4 separate regions of the Mus musculus genome follow, and regions 1, 3 and 4 are each reported to be linked to region 2. The links are microRNA targets in miRTarBase. Many come from high-throughput screens and were not tested one by one. Region 2 holds a microRNA gene; each other region holds the end of a gene's coding sequence. Distances are from middle to middle.
The links. Region 2 holds the annotated microRNA mmu-miR-1b-5p (UACAUACUUCUUUACAUUCCA, at 2,701-2,721, opposite strand). A microRNA usually pairs through its seed, bases 2 to 8, with sites in the 3' UTR of a target mRNA and lowers its output. Matches are read on the target gene's strand: a 7mer-m8 pairs with bases 2 to 8, a 7mer-A1 pairs with bases 2 to 7 and ends in A, and an 8mer does both.

Region 1: miRTarBase lists Tdrd1 as a target of mmu-miR-1b-5p. Seed matches in the 3' UTR shown: 7mer-A1 at 861-867.
Region 3: miRTarBase lists Ccdc169 as a target of mmu-miR-1b-5p. Seed matches in the 3' UTR shown: 7mer-A1 at 2,552-2,558, 7mer-A1 at 2,548-2,554, 7mer-A1 at 2,536-2,542, 7mer-A1 at 2,532-2,538, 7mer-A1 at 2,528-2,534, 7mer-A1 at 2,524-2,530 and 4 more.
Region 4: miRTarBase lists Iws1 as a target of mmu-miR-1b-5p. The part of its 3' UTR that is shown has no 7-base or 8-base seed match.

Annotation. Positions count from the first base shown.
Region 1 is chr19:56,865,859-56,870,026 of GRCm38, reverse strand. It overlaps Tdrd1 (tudor domain containing 1), which reads right to left. Exons shown (of 26, transcript NM_001002238.2): 23 at 4,025-4,168; 24 at 3,556-3,602; 25 at 3,385-3,477; 26 at 15-1,324. The coding sequence ends at 3,385. Among named protein-coding and RNA genes, the nearest start is that of Vwa2, 6.5 kb to the left of the region's middle.
Region 2 is chr18:10,784,039-10,788,206 of GRCm38, reverse strand. It overlaps Mir1b (microRNA 1b), which reads right to left and starts at 2,761; the gene lies at 2,640-2,761. All of the region lies in intron 12 of Mib1 (mindbomb E3 ubiquitin protein ligase 1), which reads right to left. Mir133a-1hg (a long non-coding RNA gene) reads left to right here. Exons shown (of 3, transcript XR_877177.3): 1 at 1-777; 2 at 2,326-2,501. Mir1a-2 (microRNA 1a-2) reads left to right here and starts at 2,655; the gene lies at 2,655-2,726.
Region 3 is chr3:55,170,789-55,174,956 of GRCm38, reverse strand. It overlaps Ccdc169 (coiled-coil domain containing 169), which reads right to left. Exons shown (of 8, transcript NM_177203.3): 8 at 2,021-3,692. The coding sequence ends at 3,593. Among named protein-coding and RNA genes, the nearest start is that of Sohlh2, 9.2 kb to the left of the region's middle.
Region 4 is chr18:32,096,611-32,100,778 of GRCm38, reverse strand. It overlaps Iws1 (IWS1, SUPT6 interacting protein), which reads right to left. Exons shown (of 14, transcript NM_173441.3): 14 at 1-3,629. The coding sequence ends at 3,498. Among named protein-coding and RNA genes, the nearest start is that of Iws1, 31 kb to the right of the region's middle.

The DNA of each region.
Region 1 (4,168 bases), not on the chromosome of region 2:
TAAGCACAGAAGGGCAAGGTGAAAACAAGTGGCTTTATTGCCTGAATCAGGACAAACTTAACTGTCTGAGACACATCAACATCCAAGCAACTTTTTACATGAGAAGGTCGACTCAACAGAGGAGCTGACTCACACTGCCAGTAACAGGAAAACAAAACAAACCCACCCACGTCAATGTTTTACTTATCAACGTTGAGTTGATGATGTCGTATTAGGTTACCACAGGGCCACATGGCACTGAAACTGTGGGACAAGTATGAGAGACTACTGGGCTGTCAGGAAGGCACACTCTGCTGCACATGGCTACGGTTAGGACAATCTCTGATCATGAGGTATGACAAATGTGCTCTCCATTTTTAAATTGATGACTGAATTTGTGTTTGAGAAGACAGTGAATTATTTCTAGAGCATAAGTCTGAATGGCTACAGACTAGTGGGAAAAAAAATCCCAGGAGGCCCTCTGGAGTCCTCCTAGTGTCAAGGCTGGAGCTTGTGGACACACTATGATCCAAGATGAAAAGCCAAGCCATCCAAGCACAGCTGAGAGAAGCAGTGCACATCCTTGGAGTGAGCCACAAGTTACCCAGGAAAACATGCCACCCAGAAGCAAGGAACCAAAGAGAGCGCATCGGGACGAGGCAGCAGATGACAGGGAGCGTCCCACTGGCAAAGAAAGGCCTGGAACGTACCAACAGTGCTAAGACCCAGCTACCGACCACACCTATCCATGCAACACCTAGCCTCCTCCTCTTCAGCACTGTCAAGACAAAGAGATGCTAGAGCTGGGACTGTAGCTCAGAGGAAGAGGAGAGCTTGCCTCGTACATGAGAGGCTCGAGCTTCTATACTCAGTAGAGCAAATACATACACACACACACACACATACACACACACACACACACACACACACACACACTCTTAGCAGAAGGTACCTCATAGTCTTTCCTAGTCGTCTCATACATTTTGAATCTTGATGTCCTTTTGGTTTTGTTTGTGATGAGAAAGCATCTAACTAGGCCCTTGCTGGCTTTGAGCCTGAGGTCTTGCCTCATGCTGCTCATGGCTGGGATTACAGGTGTGCACCACCGCGCCTAGCTCATACATGAATCTCTTCTGTAAGATTCATGTATTTCGTGGAAAGAATCGGGGAGAGGGCAGCAAACCCGACAGAACAAAGTAAGCAAGCACAGCGGAGAGGCTAAAAGTCACTAAGGAAAGAGGAGGAAGCAGCAATTCTAGTGAACAAAACACACACACAATTCTTTCTCAGGTCTGGCGTTTGCTGTCTCTTTCTTCCCAGTGTTTATTTCCAAGAGATGATGTTTCTGAAAGAGAAAAACCAGCCATCATTATGGTTTACACAGAATCACTATGGCCCTTAACTTCAGTTCTAAGTACAGGCAAGCCAGATAAACTAAATTACACACATTCAGATTATACGTGGCAGAGAAAAATTAAACAGCATCATAACAGTGCTTAATTTTTATCGATACTGGCATTAATCAGAGTGAATTATATTCTCTACAAATATAAAATGCAGCTATTGTAGCTCTTTCCAAATATAAAAACAAGTTTCATTTTAACTTATCTAGTCATCCCTTTAAGAACAATGTTAGCACCTCTATTTACAAAATTTATAATGCAGCAACACCTTTGTTATGTACATATGGTTTTAGACAGGGTCTTATTAGACCAAGCTATCTTAACTCCACATCTCACACGCCTCAAATCCCCAAGACAGCACTGCAGGCTGACTAATACCTGGCTGATAACTACTAACGAAAACCACACAACACAGTAGTTATAAAAGCCTTAACATTTGGAACACATATATCTGGAAGTAGATTAAGTAAGGTGAGAATAAATATCCAGTTTTATTTTCCTCCCAAATGAGAAGAGAATGCCTGAGTACCTATGTTATCTCCTCATTCCATGCCCTGCAGGTCCAGACTAACCGAGAAAGAGGCTGTAGCCCAGGGCATACCCAGAAGCTGGGACAGCTCCTCCCCTGTCAGCTGTAAGCTCCAGCCTGCAAGAGGGGGTGAGGTGTGGGGTGCACACCAAGAGCCTGCATGGACACCGTGAGCCTCTGCTTCCTCATCAGACAATAAGGTCATTCTACTACATGTGGGGGTGGGGGCAGGGAGCTACAAATGTGTGTAGTATATGGATAGGGAGCAAGGTGCACTCAGCTCTGCCCACAGGTGTGTGCCATTCTTCCTCAGATTGTTCCCACCTCCCGTTTTACTATGCAACATGAGTCTCTCAATGGCCTGGAACTGACGAGCAAGTTAGGCCAGCAGTTGCTGAGCCACAGTCTCCACTTCCCAGTGCTGGGATTGTGACAGCACACACCTTGCCCTGCACTTCTGCTTCAAGGATGCTGTGAGGACTGTGCAATGTGAGGCCCAGCCCCGTACACAGTGCTGTGTGGGGGAAACTAGCGTGTGTTATGTTTTAAATTCAAACATTTACCGTTCTAGGCTTTCTAATTTTCTAGAAACAATTGAAAATGGCAGCCTTATCTTAAATTATATGAGCACTCTCAGTATCTCTCTGAGGAGAGTTCACTACACAGATGAATAGACCAAAGTACAAATGATTAATTAGCTGGGCTAATCCCAGAAGCCTGTGTCATTGCAGGCTCTTCAGTCGGTCTAGTTAAAATCTTCATTAAATTCAAGATCTTAAGCTCAAGCACACAAAACAGAAATCAAGTATAGAGATGCTAAGGCACGACAATGGGAAGGAACTGTTGCTCAGGGTGTCAGCTTAGGTGCTAGCTTCCTTAGGGACAAACTCAGCAGAGGTGCGCACTCAGTCAGCACTGCTGTTCCAGAGGAGCGACAGCCCAGGGAATCCCAGGAGCTGCTGCAGGAGCATGGAAGAGCCAGCTCTGGGCTGACACTGCACCAACCCCACCCCTCCAGCACACACACAGGGGTGAATAAGTGGGGTAATCTCATTTTGTCCACAAGTTCCAGTTGGCTGCTGGCCATGACTACTTTCTGATGGCCCCTGTTCTTGCGGGGATCCTGACAGTAAGACACGGTTGGGAACTACTGGGATGGGCCCAGCACACTCTCTCTGAACAGTGGCACAGCACAGCCTGCTCCAGTGTCACAGGTGACAGAGTGCCTACCTTCCTCGATCTTCTATCCTTGCCCAGACTCAGGACTAAAGCTACTGCAGCAGACAGAGTCAGTGAGGCCTGAGAAGACGTCAAGTCTGGACACAGTGTGAGGCTAAGCTTCACCTCATGACCATCTTTACAAGTCTCTTCACATACTGACGATGTGAGCAATTTCAAATCAAACAGTAAGAAACGGCTTCACATAAGCACCTGGAGTCGGGTGCATCACAGAAGGGGAAACGGGAAACTTACTTAGCTTCTCAGCAGCTTTTTCATCTCTGTGAATTTACTTTGGTTGGTTGGATTGTTTAAGAGGAAGAGGAGAATCTGTTCGTGTTTCTCAATCTGTGGATGCAAAGGAGACAGTATGATTTCTCTCTCAATGTGAGGCAGCGTGTGGCTTCATGTAGGAGCTGCACCTACCTGTTTCTGTAACTCTGTGCAACAGCAGTCTCTGCTGTGTGGTATCTCTAGAAGCAAAAACAAACAAAACAGGCCTAGGTCATGGCAGTGAGGGAGCCCGCGTGCACCTGTGTGTCGGGGTCTAAGTGTCAACTCCCCAGGACATCACCCACCCAGTCATGTGCTGTGTGTGTCCTGGACTCTCAGACCAGCACTCCATCTAAAGATTAGGTCTTCTATGATGTCTTAGGTCTTCTAAGACTTCTCCTGTTGCTCAGATCAAAGAGAACCCGAAGAAAGGCACAGGCACAGTTGCAACCATTCCAAAGCTCTCAGTCTCGACTCCCACAGCACCAGTGTCCCTGACCTTGGGTCAGGTCAGGCTGAATTGCCACAGGAGTGCAGAGGAGGAGGAGAGGGTGGGGACTGAAGCCGTGAGGAGAGAGACAATCAAAACGACCTCTGCTGTGTATTACGCTTAAGAAAGTACCTTTAGTGGAAGCACTTTTCCTTTTAGAAGTGAGGTTTTCTGCCAGGCCACACATCACCAGATTCTCAGCTATATTGATCATTCCGTTCTCAGAACATTTTTCAACTGACACTGCGTGGACATTCTTTGAAATGGCTTTCACAG
Region 2 (4,168 bases):
CATCAAAAAAGAGTTGGATTATGAAGTATTTTGGTAGCAGAGGGATTTTTACATCCCGCAGATCTGCCTGAAGATTGTCTTGCTACCAGCCAGGGCAAATTTGTTGCCCCACCCCACCTCACCCCACCCCCGCCGCCCTTTTTCTCTTCAGGGCTTCTAAGTATAGTGACAGCCGCGTGAGGTTTTCCTAGTCTCAGCACAAGCTCGGGGAGAATCTGGGAAATGTAAGTGGAAACATGAGACACGGCTCTATTTAGCAGTACTTAAAAAAAAAATAGCAGGACAAATGGCAAAGCAGTGTTGGGACCACAGGAAGAACAATCAATAGGCAGAAAGCAAGATAGAATCCTCCTCAGCTTTTAGATCGACAATCGACAGCTGAGAGACTATTTTTTGCTATGGCTGACTAAATATGGTCAGGGAAGAGAGAGGCACAAGAGAGTCTGTTTGCCTGGGAGTGCATGTTTCAAATGCTTAGCTGCCTATAAAGCTCGAGCAGCCTAGGCTGTGGCCACTGAGTCGGGAAGAACATAGGTTGGCTTCTGTGGTGACTATGTGGGAGTCCTGACCTCGCTTGCAGACTTGACCTCTGGATATAACAAGGTAGCTTCACTCCAGATCTACCACTAACCCTGGAAACTCAAACTCCTGCTCCTCCAAAAGAATCCCAAAGCAAGAAAGATGCAGAATATTTCCTGAGGCACCAGAAGAACCCAGTATGGTCTGGTGGGCACAGGAAACTGGGTGAATGCTTGCAGCTAATTGGGAGAATGTGAGGTGTGTTTAGGGTTTTGCTTGCAGTGGTTTTTTGTTTGTTTGTTTGTTTTTTTAAATCTTAGATTACAAAATTAACATCCTCTGCAACTTTTCCCCTCTTGTAAATCATTTCATCTAACAAAAACCCTAGGTACATTCTCTTTGCCACTGTAGCAACCTTCCCATTACTTAACTTTCTCTACATATCGATATAATTGATATATTACATTCTAAATTATATGACTAATGTTGATTCAATTTGAGAGAGAGAGAGAGAGATTGCATGCCTGCATGCACATCTGTGTATATGTGTCTTTCTATGTCTATGAGAAGAGCAAGGGAAAAAGGTAAAATTACGTTGTTTTTGTATATTTAACTTGTCTTTCAAATGTATCTTACAAGGTAAGGTTCTGTGTTCACTTACACTGGGTGCTTACCTCACCCAGCTTATAAAACCAGTGCTGAAACAGCAGCAGTGTGAAAGAACGGTCATGATGTGGTGACTGCAATGTTACTGTAGGTCACTACATCTCTTCCCTGTAAGTGGGGCAGGACACTAAGCTCACAGGTAAATCAAGCACAAGAACCAACTTGGAAGGACGCTTCTGACTTTCTGCATGCTTATCTAATATTGACTGATATATATTCTCATTGTTAAATTAATTTATATCTGGGCATAGGCTAATTTCAAAGCTCAAATTAATAATTTAGTTTTAAAAATGCCATTGTTCAAACAGCATGCCAGATAACTTCAAAAATATACAATCTACCACTAACATTACATCACTACAGACAGGGTCTTTATTGTTTTCAATTAAACAGTTGTTTCAATTGTGTCTCGCTCCTCTAGTAAACCTGCATCCCTGCCTCCAGAGCACAATAGCTTCTAAAGGCTACTTCAAGATTTGGGTTATGAAATGTCTCCCCTTGCTTACTACTCAGGCCACAGACATCCGCATGCTGCTGCACGGTGCAGGTCTCAGCGGCACTGCTGACTGAGGCCCGCGTTGGCAGCTTACTAGCTTTCTTCATGGACTGCAGAAATCCTATTCCCCCACTTCCCTCCCAGCACCCCCTTTTCTATTCTTTACCAAATCTCAAAGCTTCTCAATGTCTCCTTTTGAATTAACCTTCAAAATGTCTTAGTGACTATAGGCCACTCCCAAATTATTTTTTTTTTCTTGTGCTAAATATTCAAGGTAAAACCCAGAGATTCACAGACTAAAGTGCTTCTCCTCTTTTATGGAGACTTTGGAAAAGTTATTTTAGTACTTTTCCATTATATTAAAAACCATTTTTAAAAAGTAATCTCATACAAACCAAGCACGTAACTATTTGAATTTGCATTCAATGCAAACAGAAACAGAACAAAAACTTGGCTAAATGATTTGTAATCTGTTACCTTGAAAATAAATTTCCATTTAAAAACATTAATTCACTCACACAATGAAATGATCCAATTTCAAAGCCTGTGCTAACTGTAACTTGTTTCTCCCAATAAGTTTTAAGTAGAAGTATCTGGTTTATAAAAACAATTTAGACTAAATTGATTATCATCTGTCTGTAAAGGATCTAGAAGCAAATTATAAAGAAGAGGGAGGCACGACGGAGAGAGCAGCAAGCGTGCTAACATTTCTGAATACACTTAAGACTCTGCTGACTGCATCTCTTGGAAAAGAAGCAGCAGGGCAAAGCATGGCAGTGCTTAAAAGAACCACAAGCAGAAGTGGCATTGATGGGATCAGGTAAATCTGTTGTAAAATTCAGTCTCTGATAAGCTAATCTCCGCACTGGATCCATTACTCTTCCAGAAAAGTAATCCAAATGTCCTACTAACAGCTGGGTGAGGTGGGCTGCTTCATGTTTTCACAGCTATCGGCCGGCGCAGGAGTGCCTACTCAGAGCACATACTTCTTTATGTACCCATATGAACATTCAGTGCTATGGAATGTAAAGAAGTATGTATTTTGGGTAGGTAATGTCCGCCAAGAAGAAGCTAAAGGAAACTTTCCAGGAGGATGACTTCCATACTCTGAATTCACCTGTAATACTAACAGCCCCATTCCAAAAGGACCAGCCATTCACTGGGAAAACTAACATCCCTTATACTGTACTGAAGAGATAAGTCCCGTGGAAGTGGATTTTAATTTTCACATTAAATCATACTACACTCTACACTGAATACTCACGTGATTAAAATGTGACTACTACAGAGGAAATAGTATTGCTAGCGCAAAACAGTGAGACACAGGATCAACCATTATCTGTCTTCACAATTGGATATTTTAGTGTCTCACATCTATCAAATCAGGACCAACAAATCTAATAAGAAAAATAAAGCAACAAAAAGCTGATTTTACTCATATAATAGCTATTCTTCACATGTGGCAAAATGTATAACCTATTAAAATCAGAGGATCTCGTAAGCCAAAAATTTTGGTTTCATTATTTTCTTTTCTGACAGCTATTGAAACTATAATGTTTAAAGACTATCTTTTAAGTAAAATTATACTGCACACATGAAAACTGGCTTTTGTCCTTTTCCAGCTTGTCAGTTCTTAACCCAATCTGTACTTTAAGTGCAGTTAATACTTACAGCATGAAAAAGAATGATAAAAATGGCAAAACCCTAGGCCACAACTAAAATGTAAACAGGATATATTGGCAACAAACTGTCAAAAACCTGAGTCTGTATTGTCCTTGCTTATATCAAATGACATTGTTTTTCTCACAATGAGTTATGAACAGCTACATTAGTTATTCCACAGGTCTGAAAGGTTTTCATAATTCTTTAAGAAACATTTTCACAACTAATAATTTGTTACAATCCTTAGAGAATATTAGCTATTCATTTATAAAATAAAACTGAAAACTGATTTTGTTGCTTCCAAGTTCAGCTTTTGTCTAGGAGTGTTTTGAATCACTTGAAATGTCACATCCAGCACTTAGATCAGCTGTCCCTTTTGAAGTGAGTACATGTTAAACTCTGGGCATCTGCTGACACTGCTATTACTCAAACACTTCAACTGTCACCCTGACAGGGATAACAGATGCTGACACTATCAGATGCTGGACTATTTTTTCCCATGGCCTCTCCTTGTCCTGATATGGCCAGTACACGAAACTCAATGATCCAAAAGCACACTTGAGCAACTGCACTTGCTGACTGGCTGCCAGGGACCTACTAAAATAGAACCAGGCAAGTGCTATCTTCAGCACTTAAGTTTAAGCAACCAAATACCTGTTTCACTATTTGGAAAAAATGATGCAAAGAATTAAAATTACATTAATTTCACCAGAAGCACAATAATTAACAACAGATGTAGAATAGAATATTAAACTATTTGCATACTGTCTGAGATTGTGTTGTCCTTCTACCATATTAGTTTAAAAAAATAAAATTATATGGTAT
Region 3 (4,168 bases), not on the chromosome of region 2:
TTTATTTTATTTATTTGGCTAATATAATTCCATCTATATAGTAGCAGGGGGCTGGAGAAAAGGCTCAGTCCGGAAAGTTCTTGCCTGCCTGAGGACCTGAGCCTGATCCCCAGCATCGACATTAAATGCTTGCAAGGATAAAGCCCAATAAAATTATCAACAGCAATGTAATGCATGACATTCATAAAATGATATAGTGGACAGAAAATGAGATCAGAAATCAGGGGCGGATGTGGGGGGGGAAATCAGTCACAGAAGCAGAGGATATAAATAGAAAAGAAGCACATTAAACCCGTTGTTGTGCTTATAATATATCCAAAACCAGCAAAGAAGATCAGGGTGGGGAGGAGGCACAACCAAGAATGATGATCTTGTGTGCTTTTGTAGGCCAGGCCTAGAAATGACATAGATGTCTTATTGGTCTGGCATGGTGGTACATGTCTTTGGTGCCAGCACTTCAGAAGCTAAGGCAGGAGGATGGCAAGTTTCTGGCTAGGAGTTCTAGCTTACTTTTCTTCTGCTATGATAGAACACTAACAAATTTAGGAGAGGGGAGGGTTTATTTAGTTTACATTCCCATGTCAGAGGCTACCATTGAGAGAAGCCGGGGCTAGAGCCTGAAGTCGAGACCATGAAGAGATGTGGCTCTCTGGCTTGCTCAGCAACATTCCTTACACAGCCCAGGACTGCCTAGGTTTGGCAATGACCAATGGTGGACTAGGCCCACATCTACAAACTGGCTATCCAGAAAGTACCCTGCAGACACTCCCAACAAGATAATCTGATAGAGACTGTTCAACCAGGGGTTCCCTCTTCCTAGATGTGTCCAATTTTAAGCTACATAACATGACACAGTCTCAAGACAAAGACAAAAACAAACAAACATACAACGACCACCAGAGAGAAGGCACAAAAGGGGATGTCTGCTTGATATAGGATCTCATACAATTCTGTACCTGTGGTGTGCTCCTGGACAGTGTTTCTAATACACACAACAGCTCAGTGTTTATGACCTATGCACTGGTAAACAAAGTTCTTCCTGTCCATGAAACATGAGCCTCGGGTGCATTCTTCCGAGAAAGGAGACTGTTCATTGAGCATAAAGCAATCTGGACCACAGTCCACTAGTTTGATCACCAAATACTTTTGTTTTTCTTCAGAACTTGCACAGAGTCAAAGCCCTGTCTCTCCCCTTTATCCAGGTGCAACTCAAAGAAATATAATGGTTGAAGAAACAAAATGGATTGTTAATACTTTGTGTTTTAATATTCTTTCTTTGCTTTAAAAATAGTTTTAATATCAAGTGAATGTGTTCTTCAGTTCTGGCCTTGCAAGAGTGGCAGAGCCAAATTTAGCCATTCACTGTGACTAAATAGAAGGGTAGATAAAAATAGATAAAAGAGTTGTTTGCAGGTGTAAGAGGGGATCCTTGAGAAGGCAGCAAGTCCAGTTGCCTCCTTAGCTCCTCCCCTATACACATCACAGACTTCAGAGAAGGAAGTACCATGGTAACAGGTCCGTTTCCCACATTAGAGGAGACAGAAGCTGGTGGAAGAGGCTGATGGTGAACACAAAGGCCTGTCCAAAAACAGAACCCCAAGTCTGCACAGGATACCACGAGCCCCTACAGGACACCAAGGCATAAATTGCAAAATGGTGAAGCAGAGTGCCTACAGGTCTCCAGGCATCCAGGTCTGGGCCAAGCAGAGCTATGTGTCCTTTGTGTCATTCACGGTAACTTCACTGGGGCCTCAGGCTAGCTATATCTTAACAACCTCACTCTTGGCAGGTTTACTCACTCCAATGGAAGTCTGAGGCGTTAAATAGAACTGTAAGCAATTTAAATGCTCATAGGAATATTGCAATCTGCAATATGATATTATTGATACTCAACATCCAATAAAAACTGTATAGATATATGAAGCAGAATGGGAGACCCAAAGCCAGGAGAAAAATCAGTCTTTAGAAACAAACTTGGAAGAGAAATAAAGAAAGAGAAAATATGTACATTAAAGCCCTATCATGTCAATATTCCATTTTATTAAAATATTTTATTCTTCGATAATTTCACACATGTATACAATGTATTTATTTCATACACACACCAATTCCAAGATCCCATAACCCCTTCCCAACAGCATATCTTTAAATACGTGTGTATACATACACACATATACATCCATATATATGTTTATTCACACACACATCTATTCCATTGAAGCCAGTTAGTGCTGTCCATAAATACATAGCCGTGGGGCCATCTACTGGATCATTCTGAACCTACCAGGGACCACACCCTTAAAAGGACGGACTCTCCCTCTCCTAGCAGACCTTGCTGTCACCAGCTTCTCAGCTAGGGGTGAGGCCCATGTGTCCCTCTGCCACTGGAGCTGGAATGTTGGCTAGCTTGATCTTGAGCAGGTTTTGTGCAGGCAACCATAGCTACTGCAAGTTCATGAGTGCAGCATTATGGTTCTATTATCTACACATACATGTACATATTATGCATAATACATACATACATACATACATACATACATACACACATACATACATACACATAAACCCCTCAGGTGTAAAAGGCACATTACATATAAAAGGAAACAAATGACTTTTTTCATCAGATATAGGTTAAAACACCACTTGCTTAACATGCACAAGAAATTTAAATTCCAATAATTTCTCTCATTTAAATGGGTAAGTTATATGAATCTTCCTGATCTCTACTACAATTAGAAAAAACATTCGAGTCACAAAACACCCTAAACATGAATAAAATTCAATAAAGTTCATAGGTCCTAAAAACAATTTCTTATTCTCCCTCTATTTCCTTCTAGTCTCCAGTATTCCAAACTCCTGCAAAGTTTGGTCCAAAAACTAGACCATTTTTGTGAATTAGTAAATGTCACAAAATGACTTTAATGCCACATACACAGTGGCAGACCCCTGTGACTGAATTTCTAGAAATTTTATAAATTATACAGTTTAGCACAGCCATTTTTCTAGATGTAGGAAATAAACATGAGGTGATAGGATAACCCTAAATCCTCAAGGTTACTGGCGGGGGGGGGGGGGATGGGGGCAAGAACAATGCAGTGCATGGCTGAAGTTATTGATAATATTTTCCTGAAACTTTCATATGCATGTGATCTGGGAATATGTTGAAACCTTGATTTTAGAAAGTTGAACTGAGCATGATGCAATTTAAAATAACAAAAAGGTGGAGATATTATATATAATATATAAAACAATATATAGTTCTAACTAATGGTCAATTTAGAAACCAAATACAACATAAAAGTGCAATCAGAGAATATCAGAAACACTCTACTGAGAGTGCCAGAAGGATGTCAACCTTCGGGTCCCTTCTAAGGTATTGTAAGAACTATAAGCACATGTACTGGATATTTAGGGTTGCTGGAGACCCATGACTTTTATGCAGGCAGAAGAATCAACTTTTGAAAGAGTGAGAGAAGCCGCTCTCCCTCATCTATTTCCTCCCCTGAGGAATGTATTGAACATTAGCTTCCTAAACTGAAGACACTGAATGACGAAAAAGATGGAAAAAATAGAAGTCTGCCCAGCTCTGGAGTCACGGGTTGAGTTTTGGAAGATGGTTTGATCTTGGAACCTTTTTAACTGGTCCTTTCTTGGCATTTGTTGTCTTCTGATTCATGGAATTGTGTCTTCCACTGAAATAAAATAAGCATCGATCATAATTTTTCTGTCACTGCTGTCTGCAATATAAACAGTATCCGCCATATATGAAGAACTATGGTTGACCCATCTCCTCCAGTCTGGAGTAAGGAAACCTTCATCCGCACATGTTCTGCTTACAGCACAGTCTCAGGCAACCATGTCACTGTCTCACTACAGCTTTGGGGCAACCACTGCAAAGGCAGGTACTCAACAGAGGAGTCTCCAGAAGCAGGCGTCGGGTAGCCAATGTGGAAGCCCGTGTCTGAAGAGGGGAAGGGGATCAAGGGCTACTTACCCTGAATTAAAGTCAAGAGCACAGAGAGGCCAAGAAATAAGGTAGGGATAATAAGATGACACTAAAACACAGATTTCTGTTCTTAGATCCCATGGAATCTTCTCTTACTGACTTATCCAGCTTTGTGCGGGTAGCTTCTTTGTGTTCTTCTGTGAACTAGCAGAGGCTGCTTCA
Region 4 (4,168 bases), 21 Mb from region 2:
ATAAATCATATTACTTGACTTCAAATTTTACTATAAAGTTCCTGAAGTAAAAACAGGATAATGAGGATAAAACAAAACAAAATGAACTAAAAGTCTGGAGCAAAATATACAAGAAAACCCTCATACTGTCAGATACGTTTTGATAAGGGATCCAAGAGCAGTAAGGGTCAGTCTTTCAACAAAGATGTACAGAAATAAAAGTAAACTTTCTACAACATAAAATTATCTCAAATGGATCAGACTTAACAGTAGGGCCAAAGTTACAAAAGTCACTTAAAAAAGCACAAGGCAAAGCATTATCACCTATACATAGAAACAGGCTGGTGAGATAGCTCAAATGGTCAAAATCCTTGCCACTAAAGTCTTGCAACCTGTCTCATCCTTAGAATCCAAGTAAATAAAGGTCGAAGGCAAGAACTCCATAAAATTGTGATTTTCCATATGCATACCATGGTTCCCCTCCCCCCATAAATTAAATTCTAGGTTCCTAGAATAGTCTAAATCAGAGGCAGAAAGCAGAATGAACTTGTCAAGAGCTGGTGGAAGGAGCTAAGGTGTTTGTTGTTTGAGGCAGGATCTATGCAAGTCTTAACTGGTCTGGAACTCTCTATAAAGACTAGGATGACTTTGAACTCTGAAATTGTCCTGCTTCTGTCTGCTTAGTGCTGGGATTAAAAACGTGCACTACTGTGCCCAGTACAGCTAAAGTTTGTAAGATGAAGGTGGCTCATACCACTGTGAACCCAGTCAATGCACCTAAGCTGTATGGTTAAAAGTGGTAAAGATACAAATCTTTTGCCAAAATTAAAGCATTTTACAAACAAACCAAAAAACAACCCAAACCAAAAAGTGACTACCCAGCATTCCATACAAGAGGTCAAAGTTAATGTGGCCAATCTTGAGACGAACTGTCAAGTAGCCCAGGCTGGCTTTGTTCTTGCCATGTAGCCAGGCCAGGTTGGCAAGGTGACAGGCCAGATATTTGTGGTACTGGGGATGGAACCCAGACTTAGTGCGTGCTAGGCAAGCACTCTACCAACAGAGCTGTATGATCTAGCCCCTAAAAACCATGGGTTGTTTCTATTCTCAGACAGGGTTTCTCTGTGTAGCTCTTGCTGACCTAAAATGCAATCAAAGCAGGATGGCCTCAAACTCAAGAGATCCACCTGCCTCTGCTTCCCGAATGCAGGCATTAAAGATGTGCACTGCCCCGCCACAAAACATGTTTTTAAGAGAAATATGCTTAGATATGGAGCTTGAGAACAAAGGTTCTTGATAAACTATACTCACATGCTCTGCAAAAGAAATCTTGGATATAGAATATAAAATGTGGCACACTGAAAAATATTGAAGGGTAAATGGGAGCTAATTTTAGTGTTCTAGAAACTATAGTAAATGGAAACTATGAAGGCAATGAATGGGTCAAGCTTGGGGACCCCCCCCCCCCAATCCACACAGCAAAGGTAATTTATAAAGAAATTAGCATCTTTCCCTTCAAGTAGTGCAGAACCATCTCCTTCAATCAAGGGCTTATCACCTGCTGGTTATATTTACTCCCATTAACATGGTGTTACGTGAAGCTCATCCCAAGACACCAAAATAACTCTTAAAAACTTGCTTTACATGTCAGAACTGTTTTGAATTCATTAGATGCTTTTATTGTTTTTAGTTAATGAAATTAAACAAAGCCAGAGGTAGTTTTTGCCACCACCTAGTCTGTAACTGTTGGCTCTGTAGGTTTCTGCTTCACACTCCATTTGCTCTTGCATGCTGAGTGTACTTTAATGAGGCTTTATGAGGCTCTTTTCTTTTTTCTCTCTCTCTTTTTAAAAGACAGGGTTTCTCTGTGTAGCCCTGGCTGTCCTGGAACTCACTCTGTAGGCCAGGCTGGTCATGAACTCAGAGGTCAGCCTTCTTCTCCCTCCCAAATGCTGAGATTAAAGGTGTGTGTCACCACACCAGGCTTGAGAGGTTCTTATGGAGTGTTCTAGTCCATGAAGTCCACATTCCTTCAATTGTCCAAAGGCCATTGTGGCCAATAATAATCTATTTTTTTAAATCAAGGCTCCAGTTTGTACTAGAAGAGGACTTAAGTAATGAATGAGTTACTGATAAAACTTTCTTGATCTATAGAAATCTCTCATGATTAAGAATTCTCAAAACCAAGTAAGAAACTATAAATAGTTTCTCCTTTTTCTATTTGTCCAATTGCTATATGTAACTAATTTTCAATTATATCTGTATTTTCTTAACTTTTTCTCCCCACAGCTTAACTCTTCAGATTTAAACAAACAAAGCATCTCTAACAAGAGAAATAAAAAGTATGCTTGTTGTATTTCCAACTCTACTGAGATACCATCTTTATTTGAACAGTCTTTGAGTAACTCAAAGTTATTGTTGGAAGAGCTCCCAAAATTCCTGCCTCTGCCTCCAAAGTGCTGAGATTATAGGCATATACAGTGGTATACAACACAATTCTGATACCAAATGCTCGGTGTTAGTGTAAGAATTGACAGTTCTAGGGATCAGATTTCCTCCACAAGACTGTCCCAACTTCAGACATAGACTGCAAGTGATATCTTTAGACCATGAAAATTCCAGGGTAGCTATAAACTTCCAGGCAAGTTCCCAAGAATTTCTTGGTTTAAAAACCTGCTGAATGACTCATAGAACTTGGAAAAGCACTATGTCTTTCAATAAAAGGTTATACTTATAACTGATCTTATTAGAAAAGATACAAATTAAGCCAACCAGGTCAATGAAGATTCAGGAGTAGTATGGAGGGTGGTGCAGAGCTTCTGTGCCTTTGTTCTCTTTGCACATCAACATAGTTGCAGTATCCAGAGCAGTTAAGAGTCTTGCCATGTAATCCAGGCTAGCCTCAAACTCATGACCCTCTTATTTCAACATCAGTCTCCAAAATGCTGGGATTATAGGTGTGCAAGGCACCTGACTTGTCCAGAGTTCTTTTCTTTACTATAGCTTCAATACAAAGGTATGGCTGGTTAATCAAACAGGCAATACGACTAGGTCAAGCATATTTCTGCTGACCAGTCTTAGAGCGAACTTAGGGCCCTACGATGTGCCAAATCAAGAGTATAACAAAGATAGTTCAAGAATTGTAAAGGTTTGAGATATTCCTTGTCAGGAGCCAGGAACAAAGGCCAGACAAATTCCTCATATCATACTTACACACTGAAACGGACTGGCTTTTGATCTCACAGAGAATAGTGTCTAAGACAATGATGAGACAACCCCCCAAAACCATAATGAAATTTTATTACGTACAGTTGATAGAAGCAGGAGTAGTAAGTACTCTTCTGTACAAAGCAGACAACTGGTCTTAAATACAACGGAGAGAAATGTTAGTCCTACAACAACAGATGATACAAATCGAACCATTTAGAGACACACTAAGACATTTAAAATTATCTTCTTTCTCCATAGTCCACTGTGCATTTCTTTCTTTTAGAGATGGGGACACGTCCCAGGCAAGATCACAATGGCATTTTATTGCCCTCGATGCTGATTTTCACTGCATGTGCAGATCTGCTTTTTTTCCTGATATCTGTGAACTTTCTCATCTGTTTATCCAGTCGACTGATACCTTTCTTGGAGGATGCCTGAAACTAAGATTGGGGAAAATTGAAGAACAAATTATTGAAATATGTAAATCTAGCAGTGAGAAGAGCCTGAAACTTAACAATAACCAGAACATGCTTTGGTGACAAGAACAAAGTGTTAGGAGAAACCTACTGAACTCTCAGTGATGATTAACTGGTTACTGTCCGTGCTTTACTTTTAATTTTGCCACAATCCATAGAAACTTCCCAAATGACAGGAGGAAGAAATACAGAGACTATACTCTTCCCAATCCCATCAATGACATCTGACAGGCTAGTTGCCTGACATACAATTTCAAACAATTCTGGTATTAAAAAACAAACACCAAAGACAAGTTATTAGAGAAAGACTTTAAACATAACCAACACAGGCAAACTCTGAGGTGCTAAAGTTCTAGACTCAGCCTTGGGGTGAGTGTCTCTGCTCTGCTTCAGTGGTACCAAGAATCCTGTGCAAACTATACCTGTGGTCGCTACGACTGTTAGGATATTTTCACTTGCTTTTACAGTTAAAAGCTTAGTTTTTGTTGTTGTGCTTTGTTTAA